Linked DNA regions of Caenorhabditis elegans. The protein of the gene in region 2 interacts with the protein of the main gene of each other region in a biochemical or structural test. Each region holds a gene or a part of one and is shown on either strand. Other genes may lie near its edges.

Evidence for each region.
Region 1: of the proteins of prmt-1 (region 2) and pgl-1, one has a biochemical effect on the other in vitro, tested with the Caenorhabditis elegans proteins (one study listed by BioGRID).
Region 3: of the proteins of prmt-1 (region 2) and act-4, one has a biochemical effect on the other in vitro, tested with the Caenorhabditis elegans proteins (one study listed by BioGRID).
Region 4: of the proteins of prmt-1 (region 2) and hsp-60, one has a biochemical effect on the other in vitro, tested with the Caenorhabditis elegans proteins (one study listed by BioGRID).

Annotation. Positions count from the first base shown.
Region 1 is NC_003282.8:6,974,085-6,979,310, forward strand, and holds pgl-1 (Guanyl-specific ribonuclease pgl-1), read right to left. Parts: upstream 3,235-5,226; coding exon 3,127-3,234; intron 3,060-3,126; coding exon 2,928-3,059; intron 2,881-2,927; coding exon 2,734-2,880; intron 2,690-2,733; coding exon 2,331-2,689; intron 2,283-2,330; coding exon 1,942-2,282; intron 1,896-1,941; coding exon 1,753-1,895; intron 1,707-1,752; coding exon 1,535-1,706; intron 1,491-1,534; coding exon 967-1,490; intron 923-966; coding exon 533-922; downstream 1-532. Other genes in the region: him-3 (HORMA domain-containing protein), read left to right, coding at 3,442-3,643, 3,686-3,899, 3,946-4,118, 4,166-4,452; prkl-1 (LIM zinc-binding domain-containing protein), read right to left, coding at 4,944-5,057, 5,126-5,226. UniProt on the Caenorhabditis elegans protein: Guanyl-specific endoribonuclease which cleaves the phosphodiester bond in single-stranded RNA between the 3'-guanylic residue and the 5'-OH residue of adjacent nucleotide, resulting in the formation of a corresponding 2',3'-cyclic phosphate intermediate.
Region 2 is NC_003283.11:20,266,877-20,271,353, reverse strand, and holds prmt-1 (Protein arginine N-methyltransferase 1), read left to right. Parts: upstream 1-1,642; 5' UTR 1,643-1,649; coding exon 1,650-1,919; intron 1,920-1,973; coding exon 1,974-2,594; intron 2,595-3,597; coding exon 3,598-3,753; 3' UTR 3,754-3,977; downstream 3,978-4,477. Other genes in the region: cdkr-3 (CDK5RAP3 protein homolog), read right to left, coding at 1,009-1,140, 1,192-1,237; mdt-17 (Mediator of RNA polymerase II transcription subunit 17), read left to right, coding at 4,125-4,403. UniProt on the Caenorhabditis elegans protein: Arginine methyltransferase that methylates (mono and asymmetric dimethylation) the guanidino nitrogens of arginyl residues present in target proteins.
Region 3 is NC_003284.9:4,958,987-4,964,930, reverse strand, and holds act-4 (Actin-4), read right to left. Parts: upstream 4,311-5,944; 5' UTR 4,270-4,310; coding exon 4,213-4,269; intron 2,132-4,212; coding exon 1,397-2,131; intron 1,341-1,396; coding exon 1,162-1,340; intron 1,107-1,161; coding exon 947-1,106; 3' UTR 518-946; downstream 1-517. Other genes in the region: M03F4.6 (EB domain-containing protein), read left to right, coding at 321-425. UniProt on the Caenorhabditis elegans protein: Actins are highly conserved proteins that are involved in various types of cell motility and are ubiquitously expressed in all eukaryotic cells.
Region 4 is NC_003281.10:1,617,871-1,625,768, forward strand, and holds the start of hsp-60 (Chaperonin homolog Hsp-60, mitochondrial), read left to right. Parts: upstream 1-1,871; 5' UTR 1,872-1,888; coding exon 1,889-2,035; intron 2,036-2,184; coding exon 2,185-2,493; intron 2,494-3,556; coding exon 3,557-3,949; intron 3,950-5,188; coding exon 5,189-5,566; intron 5,567-6,563; coding exon 6,564-6,881; intron 6,882-7,374; coding exon 7,375-7,536; 3' UTR 7,537-7,898. Other genes in the region: Y22D7AL.10 (10 kDa heat shock protein, mitochondrial), read right to left, coding at 401-520, 860-973, 1,026-1,052. UniProt on the Caenorhabditis elegans protein: Implicated in mitochondrial protein import and macromolecular assembly. May facilitate the correct folding of imported proteins.

The DNA.
Region 1 (5,226 bases), on a different chromosome or scaffold from region 2:
TAGTAAGCTCAAAGTCAGAAAATGCTCTGAAAATTAGTATTGCACTCCCTAATAGTCTTGCATTCCCTATTAGTATTGCAAGCGGGAAGACCATCGAAAAATAGTATTGCAGCCATATTAATAGAAGAAATACGGTATTTGTTATGTTCGAATGCAGATGTCTCATAACGATTTACAACTCTAATATGCGTAAATGTATGATAAGATCAGTTGAAATTGTATAAGAATGCATGCAGTGCCACCTGTTAATTTTATGATCCACCAATCATTCGGCACCGTCGATTCAGACATCACTTTTCTCATCAAGCCGCAGAAAGAGATATACGTGTAATTAATTGAGTTAATTTCTTGCAACAATCTAGTTCAAACATTTACCGGGAACAAGGAAAAACAGGTTGAATAAATAATAAATGACAGTCAAGGTTTTAGGGATTTTACAACAAGATTGTTAGAATAAATAATGTGCGTAAAACGTGTAAGTATACAAGAAGTGTATACTTAAAAAACAAATTAAACATTCAATAGTTGGAGTTTAGAAACCTCCGCGTCCACCACGACCCCCGTAACCACCACGTCCACGATCTCCGCCGTATCCACCTCGTCCTCCGCGGTCTCCCCCGCCGTATCCACCTCTACCTCCACGATCTCCGCCGTATCCACCTCTGCCTCCACGGTCTCCACCGCCATATCCTCCGCGACCACCTCCTCCTCCATAAGCTGAACTGGTGGGAGCAAATTGACCGAATCCTTTTGCAACTTTGGCTTCCCCAAATCCACTGACTTTGTATTGATTAGTCGGGGCAGGAAGAGGCATTGGAGTAGCGTCGCCTGACCCCCATGCAGTTTCAGCACGAGCTTGTGGTTGTGGTGTAGAATCTTTGTCAGCAACTGTGGTTTCCTCTTCATCTATCTGCTGCATGCCCTGAAAGAAATATTTTTATAATTCTGAAACGATGAACGCGATACCGGTGGCAGAGCTACTGATTTCGTTGGAGAATCCCAGCCATCGGTGGAAAAACTTGGCGCTACTTCTGGCGAAGCACTTGAAGAAGTATCTTGATTGGCATCCGAAGCCATCTCGATCTCGTTAACTGTTTGCTGTTGTTGTGCATCGTTAACCTTTTCTGGGACAGGATCGACCGCTTTTACAGTAACACCTTCTCCAATGTTTCTTGATGAGCTTAGCAAAGTCGAAGAATCCACTTCGTCACAAGAAATCTCCTGAAGACTGAGTGAATCCTTTGAATCGACAAGTAACCCGGAAGAATTGGTATCACTGAGACCGTTGAGAACTTGAGCTTTAGTATTTACGCTGTATGTGTTGTGAACCGTCGTCATTTCCTCTTTCGTGTAGGCGGAATCCTGCTGTTGGGAAGTGGATGGTTGCACATTGCTCTTTCTGCCACTTGGTGTATCGGACAAACAACACTTCTCCAGTGATTCAACAATTCGAGTGACATGAGTCTTCGAGTTGATTCCTTGAACAAATTCTGAAATTAAAAAGTTAACAGGAGATAAAAAAAGGAATATTCACTCTTGAAGCTATCGACGAGAAGATTTTTTGAAGTGGAATCCAAGAAACGAAGCTCGCCCAGCGCTTCAGTCTCATTCTCGGATCCGTAAAACTCTGTAAGCCACAGTGCAAACTGTAGAGCTTTATTCACATTATCGATCACCGCATCATTGTTTAGTGGACTCTGAGGAATCTGAAAAACGGTCATGTAAGTAATGTTTATAGAATCATTAACTCACCAGTGGAACGGGCTTATCGAAGCATTGCTCTAGAATTGAGACTTGGAACTTCTTGATAAGTTCCGCAATGGCTCGTCTTTTCCAGGCGCTCTCCAAGTCTTTCGCGACTCCAACAACATCCCAATCCTCAAAAGACTTCTTAGCTGAAATATTTAGATTTTAAAAGTAAACAAAGACGAAAATACTAACATCCTAAAAGAACTTGGATGATGTGATTGCCGAGGAACACCGCACTCTTGTAGACACTTCTTTGCAATCCTGGAAAGACTTCCGCTCTGACACTCGTAGGAATCCCAGAGAGGATTTTCTTGGAAACCTCGCGCTTTCCATCTGCAAGTGAACGAACGATAAGGAAAAAGAGCTGATATCCGAGTTGAGATCTCAAGACAAGTGACTCGTCTCCTTCATTTTTACTCGCTTCCTCGAAAAGTTGAGCGATATGGTTCACAACTTTCCCAACAGACTCTTCGAGTGGATCCATGAGGAGACTAATGAATGGATCGGCAGGTTCAGATTTCGGACCATCCAACCTAAATTGAAAAAAAAAATCGAATTATTTTGAAAAGGACAACAATTACATCAACTGTTTCAACAACGGCTTGCAGCTATCAAATGCGTTGACGACGTTATCACGGATAATGTCGACCTCGTCGCTAGTCTCCTCAGAGATAAGTCCGAGGATTTTAGTTAGGACATAAACATCAAAGTCCAGATCCAGTTGGCTGACAAGTTCCGTGAGCTCAACAAACTTTTCGGCGGCATCATCGATTGCGATTACTTTGAGAAGAGCTTGAAGAATCTTAGCGTCTTCAGTCTTCTTCAGCTTGGCCTTACGGGCGAGCATTCCGAGCTTCTTGTCGTCATCGATGACAGAAACCAGATCATGAGCATGTCCCAATCCTGACAATTTCTCAGCAGCAGCATCAAATTTCGGACGCTAAAACGTTATAATTGATTACAATAAGTTTAATTCACACTTACAAATTTATCTCCGAGAAGAAGACAAACGTCCATGCCAGCAGCAATAACGGCAGCGTTAGCGTCGTTCGGCAAGATCATCTCCAAAATGTCTTCGTCTCCAGGAGCGTCTTTGGAAGCTCCCAACACGAAAGCAGCCAACTTATTGGCCTGAAATTGAATAATAGAAAATCGGTCTTTAAATATTATAGTCCAACCTGAGATGTATTGTTGAACAGTTCTTCGTCATTCTTCGTGATGTAGTGGGCCAAATTTGGGAAAAAGTAGGATCTCAGCCCACCGAAATCCACAATTTCTCGCTTGTTAGCCTCCATGTGAAATGGATGAAACTGAAATAAATATTTAAATTTTTAAAAAATTTTTCGAGATTAGAATTCAAAAAAACGCAAAATTTACCCAAAAAAGTAAGAAAACGGAAAAGAAAATTGGGACGAGATCGAAATTGCAACTTCCGCGTTCGCGTCGAGTTGTTCGTTTCGAGACCCGTAGATCTGAAACTTCCATGCGCCTTTAATAATTTCTAAGTTTCTGAACTATTTCCAGATTTATTTTACCTATTTTCTAGTTTTTTTTTTCAAATCAAAATATGTTTAATCAATGCGGGGTTTTATAATTAAATAATATGTTTAACTTGTTATAGATTTTATAGATATTATTTTTTAAACATTTTAATTTGTTTCACGATGATATTTCAGTAATTGTAGGTTTGCGATGGCGACGAAAGAGCAGATTGTTGAGCACCGCGAGTCTGAAATTCCTATAGCCAGCCAGTGGAAGGCCACGTTTCCCGTTGATCTAGAGATTGAAAAAAATTCTGAAATGTTTGCGCTTCGCTACATAAAATGTGCTTCGGCCTTCATTCTCGATCGCCGTGGCATTTTGGACGAAAAATGCTTCAAAACTCGAACAATAGGTATGGCTTATTTTACAATGTATCACAAATATTTTTATACAGATAAACTGTTGGTCACCGCATTCCAGAGCAGTGTTCCTGCCGCAAAGCGTGTGTCTTCAACATTCGACGGATTGAGAGATGCGATTCAACAAGGCTATTTGCGAGAGTTCGCAATCGTGTTCTACAAGAAGCCAAACGAGGAAGACATTAATGAAGTGTTTGCGTTCAGGTTTGCTTATGGAGATGAAGGAGAGATTTTCGTATCTCTAAATAAGTAAGCTGCTGGTCTTATTCAATTATTCGTTTTCAATTGTTTTCAGCGGAATCGACACGAACGAAAGCAGTCAAGAACTGTTACAGGCGAAATTCGTTGATACCGACAACACGAAACAAATGTTTGCAAGCACAATCAAGAAACTTCACCGGTGTATCAAGAAAATGGAGCCGCTTCCTCAAGGGTCCGACGCGAGTTTCCGTGTTTCGTACACTGAAAGTAGGTTACATTCACAGCTTTAGTCTATTTCTAACTGTTATTTTAAGAAGCTCCAAAAGACTATACACCCGAAGGCTATCTGCTGAGTCCTATGTTCTATACGCTGAATCAGGATATTAGGAAAGCATCTATTGGAATCGTGTGTGGCGGTCATCACAAAATTCAAATGCTTGCTGCTTCACAATACTTGAAGCAAGACTTCGATCTGGATAAAACGACCACACTCAATCCAAATATGTCAATCATGGCAAACCAATCGAAAAGGAAGGGACGAATTTCCAGAGATTCCCCTTACGGTCTCAGTCAGGGCATTACGAAGAAGAATAAGGACTAGTCGAAAAGTTTTCACTCATGTGCAATGTTTCTCTTGTTTTATATTTTTAGCCATTGTTTTTATAATTTCATTGATTGTCGTGCTTTTGTCTTCTCTTGTGTGATATCAATCTATCTTCTTCACGTATAGTTTCATCTGTTTGATTGAGTTATTTTTCTTTCACTGTAAGTCTGGTGTTTCGTAGATTTAGAAAAAAGTAGCGTAATAAATTATTTTGAAATGGACCAAACATTCAAATCCAGTTCAGATAAATTTATTTCATTGAAGCAGTGTTGGAATTCGGACAAATGAGAAGTGAATATTCATTTGAAATAAGTTTTACATTACTTGCACTGTTGGCTGGGTGTTAAAAATAGGTTCAATATTGAATTAATAAAATGGGACAATTCACCGTGCAGAAAAAAACGAAGGAAAAGGCTTAAAATTGAAGAAGAAGTATAAAAGAATCACATGGGCTTTTCAGGAATTCAGTAAATGTTTGGACAAGTATATCAAGATACTGTACATCTGGAACTTTTCTTTTTCTTTGCCATTCGAACACCGCCTCCCGACATCATCATTGGTTCATTTTTCTTTGATTTACGACTGGAAGACTTTGCAGGAACCTGAATTTTTTATGATTGAATGTTTGGAAAATCTCAAATTGATAGTGTGGAATAAATTAAAAACTTACTCTACTCAACGAGGCGGCTGCCATAATATTTGAAATGTAAAGCTGTTCATCATCTGAATCCGACGAAGATGATGTACTATATCCATCCATTTCGGGATACC
Region 2 (4,477 bases):
ATCGATTTTTTGAAGATTTTTACGGCAAAAATAGCATTGTAATGCATTTTCCTAACTAAATTTGGCGAAAAATAATTCAAAAAAATGTTATTTTATCAGGTTTTTGCAGAAAAAAAGTTTGGCGCTGCTAATTCAATTTTGGGCGCTGCTAACACTATAAACTACAAGTTTTGGGCGCTGCTAATCCAGATTTCGAGCTGTTAATGGGAATTTTATCGAAATTTCTGCATTTTTTTCGTAAATTTCGGCACGAAAACTAAATTATAGTCGGTTTTCACCGCAAAAATCACAATTTTATATGTTTTTCTGACTTTTTTGGGTGAAAAACTGAATTTTTGGCAATTTTTAGATTAAAAATTGAATAATTACGGCTTTTTTGACAGAAAAATTTATTATTTTTTCTATTTTAATGATTTTTCTCGCTAAATTTGGCGAAAAACGACTAAAAACTGTAATTTAATTGGATTTTTCTCAAAAAAATGGTTTGGCGCTGCTAACATTACAAACTACAAGTTTTGGGCGCTGCTAATTCAATTTTGGGCGCTGCTAAAACTACAAACTACAAGATTTGGGCGCTGCTAATTCAATTTTGGGCGCTGCTAAGACTACAAACTACAAGTTTTGGGCGCTGCTAATTCAATTTTGGGCGCTGCTAAAACTACAAACTACAAGATTTGGGCGCTGCTAATTCAATTTTGGGCGCTGCTAAAACTACAAACTACAAGATTTGGGCGCTGCTAATCCGGATTTCGAGCTGTTAATGGGACTGTTATTGAATTTTTTGCATTTTTCCGTAAATTTAAAAAGTAAAGGTAAAGGTTGTCCGTTTGGTTCAAGGGTGAGCCTAAGCCTCCTGCGGACAAGAGAGATTTTATTCGTTTTTCTGACTGTTTTTGGTGAAAAACTATTTTTTTTAATCAGATTTTTTGCAAAAAAAACTTGGTAGTCGAGCCTTTTTGTAGTTTTTTAACAATTTTTTGGTCTTTTTTGGGCAAAAAACCAACTAACACGCTCCTTGCAGCAGCTCCACGATTTTCGGCGACTCCGGCATGTCCAAAATGGCATGTTTGATCTTTTCTCGAATCGCCACCACGCTTTTTTGCCAATCTTTGTTGCAATGACGACGGGAAACCAGCCAATCTAAAGTTTTTGCGGTGTTTTTTGGGTTAAAATTAATGGATAACGAGTTACCAAGCAATTTACTGCTGTGAATATCGATTGGCAAGTCGTCTGACATGATTTTTTATCTGAAAAATTAAAATTTTAACTTAAAATTCAATTTTAAATTCAGAAATCTCCCAAAAAAAGAAGAAAATTTCGATGGAAAAATACACGTCAGCCACTGCGTAAATCGACACAAATTTAAAGGCGCATGCGGTTTCGTGTGTGTTGGGTCTCGCAACGCCCGCATTTTTAGGTGTTGATTTGAAATGAGTTTTCCTTTTTTTTTCGTCTTTTTCACTCGAATTTCATGATTTTCAGTTGATTTTCAATTGATTTTTTGGTTTTTTTTGCTGAAAATTAATTATTTTTTGATTAAAAAGCTTTTCGAACAAGAAAATACATGAATTTTGGCCCTAAAAGTGGATTTCAGAGCATGTGGATCTCACATTAATTAATTTAATAATTAACCTTTTTCCAGCGGGACAATGAGTACCGAAAACGGGAAGTCCGCAGATGCGCCGGTGGCGGCACCGGCTGCAAAAGAGTTGACCAGCAAGGACTACTACTTCGACTCGTACGCTCACTTCGGTATCCACGAGGAGATGCTCAAGGACGAGGTGCGAACCACCACCTACCGGAACTCGATCTATCATAACTCGCACTTGTTCAAAGACAAAGTTGTGATGGATGTTGGCTCGGGAACTGGAATTCTTTCCATGTTCGCCGCCAAGGCTGGAGCGAAGAAGGTTTTCGCGGTGAGTTTTTTTTGGATTTTTTGAACGGTTTTTAAAAATTTCCTTTTCCTTCAGATGGAATTCTCCAACATGGCGCTCACCTCCCGCAAAATAATCGCCGACAACAACCTGGACCACATCGTCGAGGTGATTCAGGCGAAGGTAGAGGACGTTCACGAGTTGCCAGGAGGCATTGAGAAGGTCGATATCATCATTTCCGAGTGGATGGGATACTGCTTGTTCTACGAGTCGATGCTCAACACTGTGCTCGTCGCCCGCGATAGATGGTTGGCTCCGAATGGAATGTTGTTCCCGGACAAGGCTCGTCTCTACGTCTGTGCTATCGAGGATCGTCAGTACAAGGAGGACAAGATCCACTGGTGGGATTCAGTCTACGGATTCAACATGTCCGCTATCAAGAACGTCGCGATCAAGGAGCCACTCGTCGATATCGTCGACAACGCTCAGGTCAACACCAACAATTGTCTGCTGAAGGACGTTGATTTGTACACCGTTAAAATCGAGGATCTCACGTTCAAATCGGACTTTAAGCTGAGATGCACTCGCAGCGACTATATTCAAGCTTTCGTCACCTTCTTCACCGTCGAGTTCTCCAAGTGCCACAAGAAAACCGGATTCTCGACTGGGCCAGATGTACAGTACACTCATTGGAAGCAGACCGTCTTTTATCTTAAAGTATGCGCTTAAAAATAACTTTTTTTCGGGTTAAATACCATTTTTCAACAGTTTTTCACCAAATTTAGTCAGTAAATGGTAAAAACTTCGATTTTTGGGCTGAAAATCGACCTTTTCACAGTTTTTGAAACAAAATTCGCCAAAAAATTAAGAAAACATGAATTAGCAGCCCCCAAAACTCGTAGTTTGTAGCTTAGCGGCGCCCAAAACTCGTAGTTTGTAGTTTAGCAGCGCCCAAATCTTGTAGTTTGTAGCTTAGCAGCGCCCAAAACTCGTAGTTTGTAGTCTAGCAGCGCCCACAATCGTAGTTTGTAGCTTAGCAGCGCCCAAATCTTGTAGTTTGTAGCTTAGCAGCGCCCAAAGCTCGTAGTTTGTAGCTTAGCAGCGCGCAAAACTCGTAGTTTGTAGTTTAGCAGCGCCCAAATCTTGTAGTTTGTAGCTTAGAAGCGCCCAAAACTCGTAGTTTGTAGTCTAGCAGCGCCCACAATCGTAGTTTGTAGCTTAGCAGCGCCCAAAATTAAATTAGCAGCGCCCAAATCTTGTAGTTTGTAGTCTAGCAGCGCCCAAAATCGTAGTTTGTAGCTTAGCAGCGCCCAAAACTAGTAGTTTGTAGTTTAGCAGCTCCCAAAAGCGAATTAGCAGCGCCCAAAAGCTTGTAGTTTGTAGTTTAGCAGCGCCCAAATCTTGTAATTTTGTAGTTTAGCAGCGCCCAAAACTAGTAGTTTGTAGTAGTCTTAAGTATTAAATTTGTGTTTTTTTAAAGATTTTTGCACGAATTTTGCACTTTTCTATCGATTTTTCGAGTAAAAACCGGATTTTCTGACTGAAACCGGGGTTTTTAGGCAAAAAGTTGTATTTTTCACTAATTTTCGTTAGCTAGAAAAACCCAGTTTTGTTTTAATAAAAAAGAAAAAAAATTGCAATTTTCACATCATCTTTGACTTCAAATTCGACACTTTCGATTCAAATTTTATTTTTTTTTTCAATTTTTCGATTTTTTCAGGACGCGCTCACAGTAAAGAAAGGCGAGGAAATAACCGGATCATTCGAGATGGCACCAAACAAGAACAACGAACGTGACTTGGATATCAACATTTCGTTCGATTTCAAGGGAGAAGTGTGTGATCTCAACGAGCAGAACACCTACACCATGCACTAATTTTTGCTGTTTTTTTTTTCGTCTTTTTTCTCACACTTTTTTGCCCCCAATTTTTACACTTTGTTGATCCCCCGTTGTTCCCCCCGAAACCTCCCGATTTCCGCAGATACTCGATTGTATATACCTCGATGCGGGTTGTTGTCGCGCACCTCCTCTATCCGCGCGCACGCTCACTCTGCTCGGTACTCCATTTGTTGACCTTTTTCCATAAAAAAAAATCTGCCAAAATTCAAGTTTTTTGCAATTTTTAAGCGATTTTATAATTTATAGGTTACGCAGCCTTTAGATATATTTTTAATATTCAATCAATAGTGAGCAGCGCCAAAAGAAAAACCGAAAAATTATTTTTAAAAAAGTTTAGCACAAAAAAAATGGAAGACGGCGATGAAGTGGTGGAGCCTATCGAGCCGGAATCCGAAGACATTGTGAATCTCACAAAACGACTAGGAGTGGATCTCGTGCTGGAATCCAATGATGACTGGAAAATCCAGGAAATCGGATTTGACGGTGTGGAGAGGTACCTGCAGCCCGAGACGTTCACTGATCATGTTGGAAAATTGGCTCGGAAGGTGGAATGGACGAAGCTAGTGGGCACAAAATCGCCTTATGAAAATTCGAAGGTTGATCCCGAAGATGAACTCGATGATGAGGTAGAAGCCGGCGAAAATCAAGAAAAATCGAATAATTTTCGGGAAAAAGTCAGAAAATCATCGATTTTCAGGCT
Region 3 (5,944 bases), on a different chromosome or scaffold from region 2:
TAGATACCTTATTTATTTTATAAAAATGCTATATTCATGTGGCAATGTTTCGACTTGTAGAAAATGAATAATAGGCTGCGTCCATATCCTGTTTTTTTCCGTTAAAAATATTTTTTCAAACATTGTATGATATATTTTTAATAACATACTTGAGTAAAACAAAATGAGACACTAATCATAAAAGCGGATCAAGAATTCCATGAATTTTTTTAATTTTTGTTGTACATTTTGTGTTCAATTCTTATTTTAAACTCAAAAAACAACATATTTTTCTAAGATTTGTTGTTTTAGTTTAAAAAAACTCACCTTCTAAATTACAGGATCAACTACTAGGAGTCCGTTGCACAAATCCAGATGATCCGCTCAGTATTGGCTCAATTTTGGACCGCGTCGGAGACATCTTCGGAAACAAACAAGGCAAATAATCTGTGTTCCGTAACAGCTACTCACTTCATCTCTCCTCCGGGTTGAATTTTCTTTATTTGTATTTTTTACATTAGATAAACTTGATCAATTTGTCTTATTAAAAGCTTTATTATGAATGTGGCTCAAATAATGAGCATGATTCAGAGAAAAAATGGTTTAAAATGTCAATTTTGTAATGAGAAAATGGGGGTCATCGGCAGTAATAGGGTACAACAACAAAAGTGATTGCATTAAACCTCAACTTCAAACCAAAGATACACAGAGAACCTAGTTATACATGCCTAGATTACTACCGGAATAGTATTGAACAAATACAAGAGAAGTTACCAATGAAGATTTGGGTGAGAATGGGAAGCATAATGCAGTCGGCTAGAGAAGTTGGAACTATTACTAGCAATGTACACGGAGAGGGTGAAGAAAAAAAAAAGAGAAAATAAAAAAAATGTAAAAGGATGGTCTGGATGGGTTGCGGGATAATACGAACTTCTTTTGAGCGTTGTGGGTGGAAGGGGCAAAAAATTTAGAAGCACTTGCGGTGGACAATCGATGGGCCGGACTCGTCGTACTCTTGCTTGGAGATCCACATCTGTTGGAAGGTGGAGAGGGAGGCGAGGATGGATCCTCCGATCCAGACGGAGTACTTGCGCTCTGGTGGGGCGATGATCTTGATCTTCATGGTGCTGAAAAAATAGAAAGTAAATATTAGTTCTTGAAATCCATTTAAGTTAAACTTACGATGGGGCAAGAGCGGTGATTTCCTTCTGCATACGATCGGCGATTCCTGGGTACATGGTGGTTCCTCCGGAAAGGACGGTGTTGGCGTACAAGTCCTTACGGATATCAATGTCGCACTTCATGATGGAGTTGTAAGAAGTCTCGTGGATTCCGGCAGACTCCATACCCAAGAAGGATGGCTGAAATGAATAGGAATTAATTTTATGTTTAGCTAGAGGTGCAAATATTTTCTTACCTGGAAGAGAGCCTCTGGGCAACGGAAACGCTCGTTTCCAACGGTGATGACCTGTCCGTCAGGAAGTTCGTAGGACTTCTCGAGGGAAGATGAGGAGGCAGCGGTGGCCATTTCTTGCTCGAAGTCGAGGGCGACATAGCAGAGCTTCTCCTTGATGTCACGGACAATCTCGCGTTCAGCGGTGGTGGTGAAGGAGTAACCGCGCTCAGTGAGGATCTTCATGAGGTAGTCAGTAAGATCACGTCCGGCAAGATCGAGACGGAGGATGGCGTGTGGGAGGGCATATCCTTCGTAGATTGGGACGGTGTGGGTGACACCATCTCCAGAGTCGAGGACGACTCCGGTGGTACGTCCGGAAGCGTAGAGGGAGAGCACGGCCTGGATGGCGACGTACATGGCTGGGGTGTTGAAGGTCTCGAACATGATTTGGGTCATCTTTTCTCTGTTGGCCTTTGGATTGAGTGGAGCCTCAGTGAGGAGGACTGGATGCTCTTCTGGGGCAACACGGAGCTCGTTGTAGAAGGTGTGATGCCAGATCTTCTCCATATCGTCCCAGTTGGTGACGATTCCGTGCTCAATTGGGTACTTGAGGGTAAGGATACCTCTCTTGGACTGGGCTTCGTCTCCGACGTAGGAGTCCTTCTGTCCCATACCGACCATCACACCTTGATGTCTTGGGCGTCCAACGATGGATGGGAAGACAGCGCGTGGAGCATCGTCTCCGGCGAATCCGGCCTGAAATTATCAATTTTTGTTTCAATATATCCCATGATGACCCCTAGATAAGAAATGAATACTCTCGTTAGGTCTTTCAAGAATGTCCATTATATTTACATTGCAAAGAGAGAAGGTTGCGGCGAGAATTCGGTCGAGATTTGGCAGAGCGCAGTGAGTCCGCGCACGAGCGAGAGCAGTGCAAACACAAAAGGCCCATTCCCCTATTCTCAAAATGCCCTCTCTCGCTCTACTCCTCTAGTTCACGGTTGATATCGAATGAAGTACTTTTTCCGAGAACGCTTTGGTGTGTGGTGAGCGGCGACAACGCTCAACAGATGTGTGTATGTCTCTCTGTGTTTGTGTGTGTGTGTGTGTGTGTGTGTGTGTGTGTGTGAGAGAGTGTGCCCAGCGCTCGCTTACCCCCGTGTTGGTCGCAGGGGCCTGCTGCTGCCACTGGCCCCGTTTTTTTTTACCCACTCAGATCCATTTCGCAATCCAATTGCGCTGTTGAATAATGAGATAGGAAACGGGGCGAATGGGAGGCCATCAGCAGCACTGAGAAGCGGGGCATTCGGGCACTAAGACAGATTTCGAAATGCATTGAGTCATCGTCTACACACCAAGAGCACCAGATGTGAGCGTGTCAGTTTTTTGATTTCAAATGGAAATTGTGGAAAATTGAATTAGAATGGGAAGGGGGACATTTTGATGATGAAAGTCCCTGATGACCATTGCATTTGTACAATCCTATCCCGGTCACTTACTCTCTCCCCGTTCATCCTAATCGCACTTTTCGCCTCCTACTACTTGGCCTCAATCGGACTCTCATGTCTAGATTGCGCATATTCATTTCTATCAATCAATATAGTGAGGATTGACAAAAGGTGGCATTTCTTGGCCTTGACAGTCCGTCCGTCCCTTCTTGTGTCCTATCCGTCTCCCATCCGTTCGGCTGTTGGCGTGGTGGTAGTCATTCAACAAGAGAGGCCGAATGGAGGGAAACCGCCGCCCTGCATACAGTGATGCGAGGAGGATACAAGGGCACACTTGACCAACACACTGTCAAGATTAGCGATTAGCGGCAGCCTCTTTTCTGACACATATATATAAATAAATCCGGGAAGGGTTCGCCAATACCATCGGAATCTCACACTCTCAGACACTCACACACATCTTGTTTCCTAGGGCCACAAATTAGCCAAGTAGCACTATTGAGGGTGGTGCGGATAATTGATGTTCGCGTTGCGCTTCTTCGTTCCCAAATTATACTTAATGAGGATTGCAAAGTGAGGTGGTTGCAAATAAAGATACCCGTCGTGGATAGACAAAAAACTACTGGCTTTTGACGACGAAAAAAATCGCTGTTCTTGTTGAATGGTTTGCCTCTCTTTCTATCTTATGGGGTTGCTAATCTACTGGCGAAATCTCTATTCAACTATTGCCACTGCCCTCTCGGAATGTGCATTACACTACTGTTGGCTGGTCGTGATATATCCCATTGTACGAAGGAAACGTCGCGGACGTTCCCTCAACGGACGGCCTCTCCTCACACACCATTGCAAATGCGCATCGGGTCGGGGTCGGGTTGGCCCCTCTCCAACAATACTCTACATACACTAAAAACATATCCTTGCGACGATTCCTTTTTTCTTCCCCCCCCTTACATATTCTCCCAGTGGGATGAAAAAGGGGCGCGTGGCGCCAGATTTGAAAATGGGAGGGAGCGAGTGACCGCGCGCAGGTGTTGACGGACGATATGAATCACCACCCACTACTACTACAACTGTTGCCATAATTATTTGCGAAACAATGCAAATCGAAACGTTGAGAAGGAATAGAAATTCAAAATCCTTATGCGGCAGGGAAACAACTTTTTATACAATGCAATGGAATTATTCCTAGGTTGTTGGAAATTTTAAACCCAAATGAAAAGTAAATTTGAGACATGGAGTTGGAATAAGCGCAGTTAAAACTAACAAAATAAAATTTTCCAAAATTTCTAAATCTTATATTCAAATGTTTCTAGAGCAGTTAAGATTGCATAATATTGTTTTAAACCTTTGTCCCTAATTAGAATTATTCAAATGTTATCAACTCACCTTGCACATTCCGGATCCATTGTCCACCACAAGAGCGGCAACCTCGTCGTCACACATTTTTTTGGGAACTGAAAGCGGGTGCCTAGTGAAAAACCAGTGCACAACTCTGCCTCTCGTGGCCTATTTATACTGCTGCACGCGACGCGTCCGCGCCGCTCTTTGCCATTGGTCGGCTGGCCCCGCCCAACCGAATGAGGGATTGAGGGAATACTGGAGAGCGGCCATCCGACAGACGGTCCTCGGAAGGGCGGGACACGGAGGGAAAAACAGTGTGGTGGTGGTGTCCTGGAAAATTTGAATTGGGGGACCGCGTCGCGCCTTCCCGCCTCGAAGATGAGGCGTTCGGCAGAGCGCAACGTGAGAAAAACGCCTAAAAATGTTTTGTAATTATGAAATTGGTCAGTGAAAAGCGAACGGCCGTTCGGTTTTTAAGGGATAATTTGATAAGGAACCGTAAGATTTTAATGTTGCAAAACAATTGCAGACGTCGTGGCACTGCAGACTAAAGATGTTCTCAGAACTCTTTTCTTGCCATACTTAGTGATATATTCGAATCTAGAATTAATCTTTTTGTCATCAATATCAGGAAAAGCGAGGTTTTTTAACTGTAAGTTGGTAATGAAGGAACCGTATTTTCCAATATATCGATGGTCTCTAGTTTTATTAAGAAATGATTCAATGTTCAAATGTAGAAAAAAATTTGACACGTATTTTGTCAAAGTGGAGCATGACGTGCCAGTGTTAAAGGAAAATTCCTCATGTTTTCAACACTTTTTGTACTTCAAAGTATATCTGAAAATGATTTTGTTTCAAATCACAACAAAGCAAAATTTCTGAAAATTGTATTAGTCATCAATTTCTATTCTTGGATATTGTCACATGTTCGATTTTTGAATTTATATGATTCAACAATTTGTTTTTTTTTTCTGTATTCCGCCGGAATATAATCTTTGAGCGAGAGGGTTTAGATTTTTTTTCTCCAAAAAGTTTGAATTGTTTCCATTGAATTAGCTGCCCTGCTTTCTCGGTGTTACACTGCAAGTTTTGCTTTCAACTGCACAATGCGGGGGAGATGAGAAGCGGGAAGAGCGGAGCATCATCAGGAACCATCAACAACATGTTACCTCTCGGGGTCCAGTTTTATTGGTTGCGAAGAAAACGAACAAAGTGCCGAGAAAGAGGGACCTGATTAAATGGGTTCGCAATTTAATTAGTATCACCCAGAAAACTCATTGAGATTCTTTTTTTTTCAAAACATAGTGGTCAAATTGGTTTCCTCTTCCCCCCCCCCCCCCCCCCTCAACCGTGCGCGGTGTTCTCCCAATGTTTCACATCCAACTTTTCCCGAATAAGAACAAAAAAATAGTTTTCCATTTCGTTACAAAACATGAAGCGTGTCCTCTTTTGATGAGTAATCGTCGTATAGAAAAATATGAGAAACAATGACGGAAGGCAAAAAAAAGGAAATGTTATGTTTAGAAATGAAGTAAAATGTCACTGATGATTCAGAAACGGGGGGCATCGACGTTCTGTTTACGAATGTGTTCCACAGCTTTTTTTTGTGAGAACGATTGACCCAACAAGGGATCAGATGACATCACTTCATGCCCACCATAAAGCACAAATGCACTATAGGTTCTTTCAATACACTATGGCATGTTTATACACACTTGCTGTCTACTCTTCATTCTTAAGAGCACATTGTGTGTGTGTGTGTGTGTGTGCTCGTTTC
Region 4 (7,898 bases), on a different chromosome or scaffold from region 2:
TTTACAGAGAAAATGCTAGATTTCCGGTGAAAATCGGCAAATTTTGTGCAATTTTCGTTGGGTTTTAGCGTAAATGTACTATATTAAAGGTATTTCCCCAATAATTTAGAGCGAAAAGCGCGTGATATTCAGTTTTTGGGGGAAAAATCGTATTTTAATACAATTTTTCCTGATTTTTCTGAAAAAATCTTGGATTTCGGCTGAAAAAACACAATTTTTGTGCAATTTTCGTTGATTTCAATGACTTTTCAGTAATATAACGCTACTTTTACACTGAAATGTTAAAAAAAATCCCGATTTTCGTCCAAATTGTGTGAAATTTCAACGGAAATTCAGATTTTCACATTAAAAATTCGCCAATTAATCCATATTTTCGCTCGAAATTCGTCGCATTTTGTACCTTGGTGCCTCCGTATTCTGGGAGAAGGACACGATCTCCTGGCTTCACAGTCAATGCGACGAGCTCTCCCTTCTCGTTGCGAAGTCCGGCTCCGGCAGAGACGACGGTGGCTTCAAGGACCTGAAATATTCGAAAATTAGGTGGAAATTGCTTTAATTTGAGTGAAAATTCGGTAATTTCGGATAAAAATTGGACAAAAACCTCCGCGAGCAGTCGGAGAGCGTGTTGGCAGGGAAAATCGATAATTGCATCATTACACCAGACTTTACGGAATTTTCGGTGAAAATTAACATTTTTCGTATAAAATTGAAGGTTTTTAGCTAGAAACTGTGTTTTAGACGCCAAGTTGCACCATTTTGACGGTGAAATTGGCATTTTTGTGCTAGAAATCTGCTCCAAGACGTTGAAATTTATCAGTTTTCACCTGAAAAATCAATTTTTAGGCCAAAAATTGCTCACTTTTCCCTGTGACTTCTCCGGGAGCATGATTCCTCCCTTTGTCTTGGTCTCGGCGGCGACTCTCTCGACGAGCACACGATCATAGAGTGGCTTGAAGGTCTTGAGGACATTGCTCTGCAAAAAAATACGCGTTTAATTCGGAGAAAACACCGGGAAAATAGCTTACCGATCGGCGGACAGCGGTGAGGAACATTTTTCGGCTGAAAAATTGGTTTTTTGAGTTTTAAAATTTATTTTTAGCGGGAAATTACATGAAAACAACGAAAAAACCCGAAGAAACCCGCGAAAATTCAGAAAATGATCAAAAAACCAAAAGAAGCTTCGAGAAAAAAAGCAGAAAATAAATGTGCGGCGCGAAAAATCTCGTGCGGCAAACTTGCAAATCTAGGCGTGTCGGGCCAATGGCAGACACCGCGCCGCAAATTCAGCCAATCAGCGCGCTCAGCTCCACCTAGAAAAGTGTGCGCACCTTGCAAAACTGGGCGGAGCGAGTGAAATGATGCAAAAGTCTATTCTGATGTAAATTAGCCATTTTACATCAAAATTTGCGTCATTTTCGTTATTTTTCTCTCATTTTTCATATTTTGAACGAAAAATTGAGGTTTTTTGCTTCTATTTTCATCAGAAACCATTGAAAAATGCTTATTTTTGGGCCATTTTTCGTCGAAATTAGGGGAAAAAACTATTCTACAGTTTTCCCAGCTATTTTCTCATTTATTCCTGTATTTTTCAGTCATTACCTGCTTCCCAGACGATAATGCAAGGCTTCTCGCTTCATTTTCATAAAAAACGATTGAAAAATGCTTATTTATAGGCCATTTATCGTCTAAATTAGGGGAAATATCTGTTTTACCGTTTTCCCAGCCGATTTCTCATCCATTCTCGTTATTTTTCACTCCTTTTCTGCTTCTCAGACGATAATGCAAGGCTTCTCGCTTCATTTTCGATGAGAAACTCTGATTTTGCTCGCATTTTCGCCTTTCCGCTGCAGATTTTCACACAATTTTCGTAGTTTTTCAGACACAAAAGATGCTTCGCCTCGCCAGAAAGGGACTTCAGACCGCCGTCGTCAGATCTTACGCCAAGGACGTCAAGTTCGGAGCCGAAGGACGACAGGCCATGCTCGTCGGAGTCAACCTGCTCGCCGACGCCGTCTCTGTCACTATGGGCCCAAAAGTACGGGGATTTTGATGTGAAAATTGAGGAAAAAATGCTGTAAAAAAATCTATTTTAACGTATTTTTATACACAAAACTTCCGGTTTAATGCAAAATTTAATTTTTTTTTCTTCATAAATACAGCCTCTAAAACTCCAAACTCTTTCAGGGAAGAAACGTGATCATCGAGCAGTCGTGGGGAAGCCCAAAGATCACAAAGGACGGAGTCACCGTCGCGAAATCCATCGACCTCAAGGACAAATACCAGAACCTGGGAGCCAAGCTCATTCAAGATGTCGCCAACAAGGCTAATGAGGAGGCTGGAGACGGAACCACCTGCGCCACAGTTCTCGCCAGAGCCATCGCCAAAGAGGGATTCGAGAGCATTCGTCAAGGCGGAAACGCTGTCGAGATCCGTCGTGGAGTCATGAACGCCGTCGAAGTCGTCGTTGCAGAGCTCAAGAAGATCTCCAAGAAGGTTAATACCGGGAAATTGTGGATTTAAATTCAAAAGCCACAGTGATTTTTGGAAAAATTGGGATTTTTGACCCAATTTTGAAGCGATTTTCATTTGATGTTAGAGGAAAAACTAGAATTTCGCTCAAATCTGCTTGAAAATCGCGAATTTGTGGCTAAAATCAGTTGCCAGGAATTCAAAATCTTCAAAAAACCGTCATTTTTTCCCAATTCGGGCCATAAAGCTTATTTGTTCGACGGAAAAACCTTCATATTCCGGAAAACTGACAAAATTTCACTGATTTGCTCTGAAAATCTTGAAAAACCGTCATTTTTCCCCTACTCAGGACGAAAAGCTTATTGTTTGACGGAAAAACCCGAATATTCCCGAAAAATTACAAATTTTCACTGATTTGTCTCGAAAAACCTTGAAAATTCAAAAAGTTCGCCAAAATGTGGTGCTTTTTGGAACAATTGGCAGCTCTGATGCAATTTTTCATTCAATGTTGGCCTGAAAAGCTGAAAATATCGAATTTTTGGCCAAAATCAATAAAAACCCGCAATTTTCCCCAATTCAGGACGAAAGCACCTAATATCCCGGAAAATTTGCAAAATTTCGTGTTTTTTCAAACAGTTGTGAGCTCTGATCCAATTTTGAAGCGGTATTCATTCAATGTTGGCCTGAAAAGCTGAAAATATCGAATTTTTGGCCAAAATCCATAGAAACCCCGCAATTTTTACCCAATTCAGAACGAAAATCTTATTTTGTTTGACGGAAAAACCTTAAAAATCCGGAAAGCTGACAAAATTTCACTGATTTGCCCTGAAAAACCTTGAAAAGCCACTATTTTTTACCCAATTCAGGACGAAAAGCTTGTTGTTTGAATGAAAAAGCCCTAATATCCCGAAAAAATGGCCAAAAATTCACAGATTTGTAGGGAAATCGCGACTATTTCTGACTATATTTGCTCGATATACCTGAATTTTTACTTGTTTTAAACCAAAAATCGCGCCTAGAAACCTAAAAAATCAGAAAAAAAACTAAATTTAGCAATAATTTAACTAAAAAAAACTTGTTCCTGCAGGTCACCACCCCCGAAGAGATCGCTCAAGTCGCCACAATTTCCGCCAATGGAGACACCGTCGTCGGAAATCTCATCAGTGACGCCATGAAGAAGGTCGGAACCACTGGAGTCATCACTGTTAAGGACGGAAAAACGCTGAACGATGAGCTCGAGCTTATCGAGGGAATGAAGTTCGACAGAGGATACATCTCGCCGTACTTTATCACCTCTGCGAAAGGAGCTAAAGTCGAGTACGAGAAGGCTCTTGTCTTGTTGAGCGAGAAGAAGATCAGCCAAGTTCAGGATATTGTGCCGGCTCTTGAGCTCGCCAACAAGCTCCGCCGTCCATTGGTTATCATTGCCGAGGATGTTGATGGAGAGGCTCTTACCACTCTTGTTCTTAATAGACTTAAGGTACAGACGACAAGAAGCGAAAAACTGCAAATTTTGTCGAAAACCAGCGTTGAAACTCCATTTTTTGACGGAAATTCGCGTTATTTCGATTATTGCCCCCAAATACGGAGAAAAATGCGAAATTTGCTGAAACCCGACGTTTTCTTGATTAGTTTACCCCCAAATACGAAAAAAAAGTACAAAATTCGAAATTTTCAGCCAGGAATTTGGATTTCTCTTGAAATTTTGAATTTTTCAGCCAGGAATTTGGATTTTCCCTGAAATTTTGAATTTTTCAGCCAAAAATTTGGATTTTTCTTGAAAACTTCAATTTTTCAGCCAAGAATTTGGATTTCTCCTGAAATGTTGAATTTTCCACCCAAAAATTTTGATTCTTCTTGAAATTCGAACTTTCCAGCCAAAATTTTTCGCAATTTCGACTGAAAAATTCGTTTAAAAGCCGAAAATTACTGTTTTTCGGATCAGTTTCAGCTTGATTTTACAAACTTTTGGAAACTACAGATTTCTGCCGGAAATTACTTATTTTGGCATTAAAAACTTTTAATATCCCGATTTTTGGTTCGAAAAAATGTGTTTTTTTGCCAATTTCGACTGAAAAATGGCTAAAAATGCTGCAAAAATTTTGTATTCGTCCAAAAAATCCCCGGAAATTCACGTTTTTAGCCTAGAAAACTTGAATTTTTATCAGAAAATTCAAGTTCAAAGAACCGCGAGCATTTTTTGATCAGTGATGTTTGTTAGCAGCAGGAGGCTACTCGCAACAAAATACGAGCGACCTTGATTAGAGAATGATAATATATCTTCTTTTTCTTATCAGTTGAGAGAGTTTTACAAATTTTACGGCAAGAAAATAGAAAAAAAGCAGAAGAAACTAGGGATTCAGCAAGAAAATCGCCAGGAAATTTCATAATTTCCTGGATTTTCTCCAAAAACATGAAGATTTCACCTGAAAATCGCGCTAAATTAAAGTTAATTAATGTGTTTTACACTGAAAAACCTTTAAAACCGCAGAATTTTCTTCCAGGTCGGATTTATTCAGTATTCTACATAATTTTCCATTTTTATCAGTGAAAAAGTGCGCATTGACTTCTGAGAAAGTCTATTTTTGCTATTTTTGCTAAAAAATACATATTTTCACTGAAAAACCTCTAAACTCCATCATTTTCCACGATTTTAAGTTTAAAAAAAAACTAATTTTTCACTAAAAACCCTGTAAAACCGCAGAATTTTCTCTTCCAGGTCGGACTTCAAGTCGTCGCAATCAAGGCTCCAGGATTCGGAGATAACCGCAAGAACACGCTCAAGGATATGGGAATTGCGACGGGAGCAACGATCTTTGGAGATGACTCGAATCTCATTAAGATCGAGGATATCACAGCCAACGATCTCGGAGAAGTCGATGAGGTCACCATCACCAAGGACGATACTCTTCTTCTTCGCGGGCGTGGAGATCAAACAGAGATCGAGAAGCGAATCGAGCACATCACCGATGAAATTGAGCAATCGACGAGCGATTACGAGAAGGAGAAGCTTAATGAGCGTCTCGCCAAGTTGAGCAAGGGAGTCGCTGTGCTCAAGATTGGAGGAGGATCTGAAGTTGAAGTTGGAGAGAAGAAGGTGTGCGGAATTTGGCTGAAATTGGAGAAAAATTGAAGAAAAACTGGCTATTTTCCGTGGGAAAATGATCAAAATCCGTTCATTTTTGAGCTTTTTTTAGCAGAAAATTGGTTTAAAAAAACCTCAATTTCTACCAGATTTTTGTCGAGAAACCTGATTTTAAAACCTTTTTTGTGCCGTTTGTGCCATTGGAAACTCGTTAAAACTCAGTTTTTTATTTTTATTTGCAACAAAACGCAAGATTCTCTTTGTGCTCCTTTCGAGTAAAATTTATGGTAAATTCCCCCATTTTTGTGAAAGAAACCCACTAAATCTGCAGATTTTTCTTGAAAATTTAAATTTTTATTTAAACAATCTGACTTTTTCTTACAAATTTGAATTTTTTTAGCCAAAAATCTGAATTTTTCAGCCAAAAATTTGAATTTTTCTTGAAAATTTGATTTTTTCAGCCAAAAATTTGGATTTTTCTTGAAAGTTAGAATTTTTTAGTCGATCATTTTCAGCTTGATTTTGCCGTGTAAACTACAGATTTCTGCCGGAAAACATTAAAATTTGCGATTTTAGCAATTTCCAGCCGATTTTTGGTTCGAAAAAATGGCTATTTTGCCAATTTGAATTTTTCAGACAAAATTTTGCATTTTCCTTAAAAATTTGATATTTTCAGCCAAAAAATTGGATTTTCCCTGAAAATTTGATATTTTCAGCCAAAAATATGGATGTTTCTTAAAATTCGAACTTTCTAGCCGAAATTTTTCGCAATTGCCACTTAAAATTTTGTTGTTAGAAGCCGAAAATAACTGTTTTTTTCGCAATTTCAACTGAAAAAATTGATAAAAAAACGCGGAAAAAACTGTTAAATTGATTTTTCCCGCTGAGCATGCTCAAAAATAGCAGAAATTTTGGTTTTCCTGCGCGGAAAAATCTTGATTTCCACCAGATTTTATCGGTTTTCTGCAATTTTTTGTATGATTTTTCATCAATTTTTTTTTCATTACAGGACCGTGTCACCGATGCTCTGTGTGCCACGCGTGCCGCTGTCGAAGAAGGAATCGTTCCAGGAGGAGGTGTTGCTCTTCTCAGATCTCTGACAGCACTCAAAAACTACAAAGCAGCCAACGAGGATCAACAGATCGGTGTGAATATCGTCAAGAAGGCTCTCACTCAGCCAATCGCCACAATCGTCAAAAATGCCGGTCTTGAGCCATCGTCGATTATTGATGAAGTCACCGGAAACAGCAATACATCATATGGTTATGATGCGCTCAACGGAAAGTTCGTTGACATGTTCGAGGCTGGAATTATCGATCCAACTAAGGTATATACAGCGTCAAAAATTTGAATTTTTCGTGAAAATTTGAATTTTTGAGACAAAAATTTTGGATTTACCTCCAAAATTTGAATTTTTAGCCAAAAAATTTGAATTTTTCGTGAAAATTTGAATTTTTGAGCCAAAAATTTGGATTTTCCTCCAAAATTTTAATGTTTTAGCCAAAAATTGCATTATTTCACTGAAAATTTTCATTTTTAAGCCAAAAATTAGGAATTTTCTTGAAAATTTGAAGTTTTCAGGCGGAAAATTTGGATTTTACGTGAAAATTTAAATTTTTCAGCCAAAAATTGGAGTTTTTCAGCAGAAATTATTTGAAAGTAGTTCAAAAATTGGTCAAAAAATGGAAAAAAATTGCTTCTGGCCGTCTTTTTTTTTTTTTTGGAAAAAAAAACCCTGAAAATTCAACATTTCAAGAAAAATCGAAAATTTTTATGCAAAAAAAAATCTCCCCAAAAACCGCAATTTTCCAAATTTCCAGGTGGTTCGCACAGCTCTCCAAGATGCTTCAGGAGTCGCCTCACTTCTCGCCACAACCGAATGCGTAGTCACCGAAATTCCAAAGGAAGAAGCAGTTGGTGGACCAGCCGGTGGAATGGGTGGAATGGGTGGAATGGGCGGTATGGGAGGAATGGGATTCTAAGCTCTCAATCTCTCATTGAAATAACGACACCGATGGATTGATTTTCTCTCTAAAACACTGGTTTTTGCTCAATTTTGTCGTTTTTCCCATCATTTTTTCCCCAAAAATTTCCCCAAAAAAATTATGATCTTTTGTGCTCTGAGCCATTTGTTTTTTTCTTGTTTTACGGCTCTTTTTCCCCTTTTTTTGATGATAACTTTTCAATGGTGTTTTTTTTTTTAATTTTTTCGCAATTTTAGGACCTCAATTTTTTTTAGTTTAGTGTTTTTCCCCTTGTTTTTAGAGTATAATATATAGAATCTCCTTGTTTTTTTTTTCCGTTTTTTTCTTTGTTTTCACTCTCCTCCCCACCCCGTTTTTCT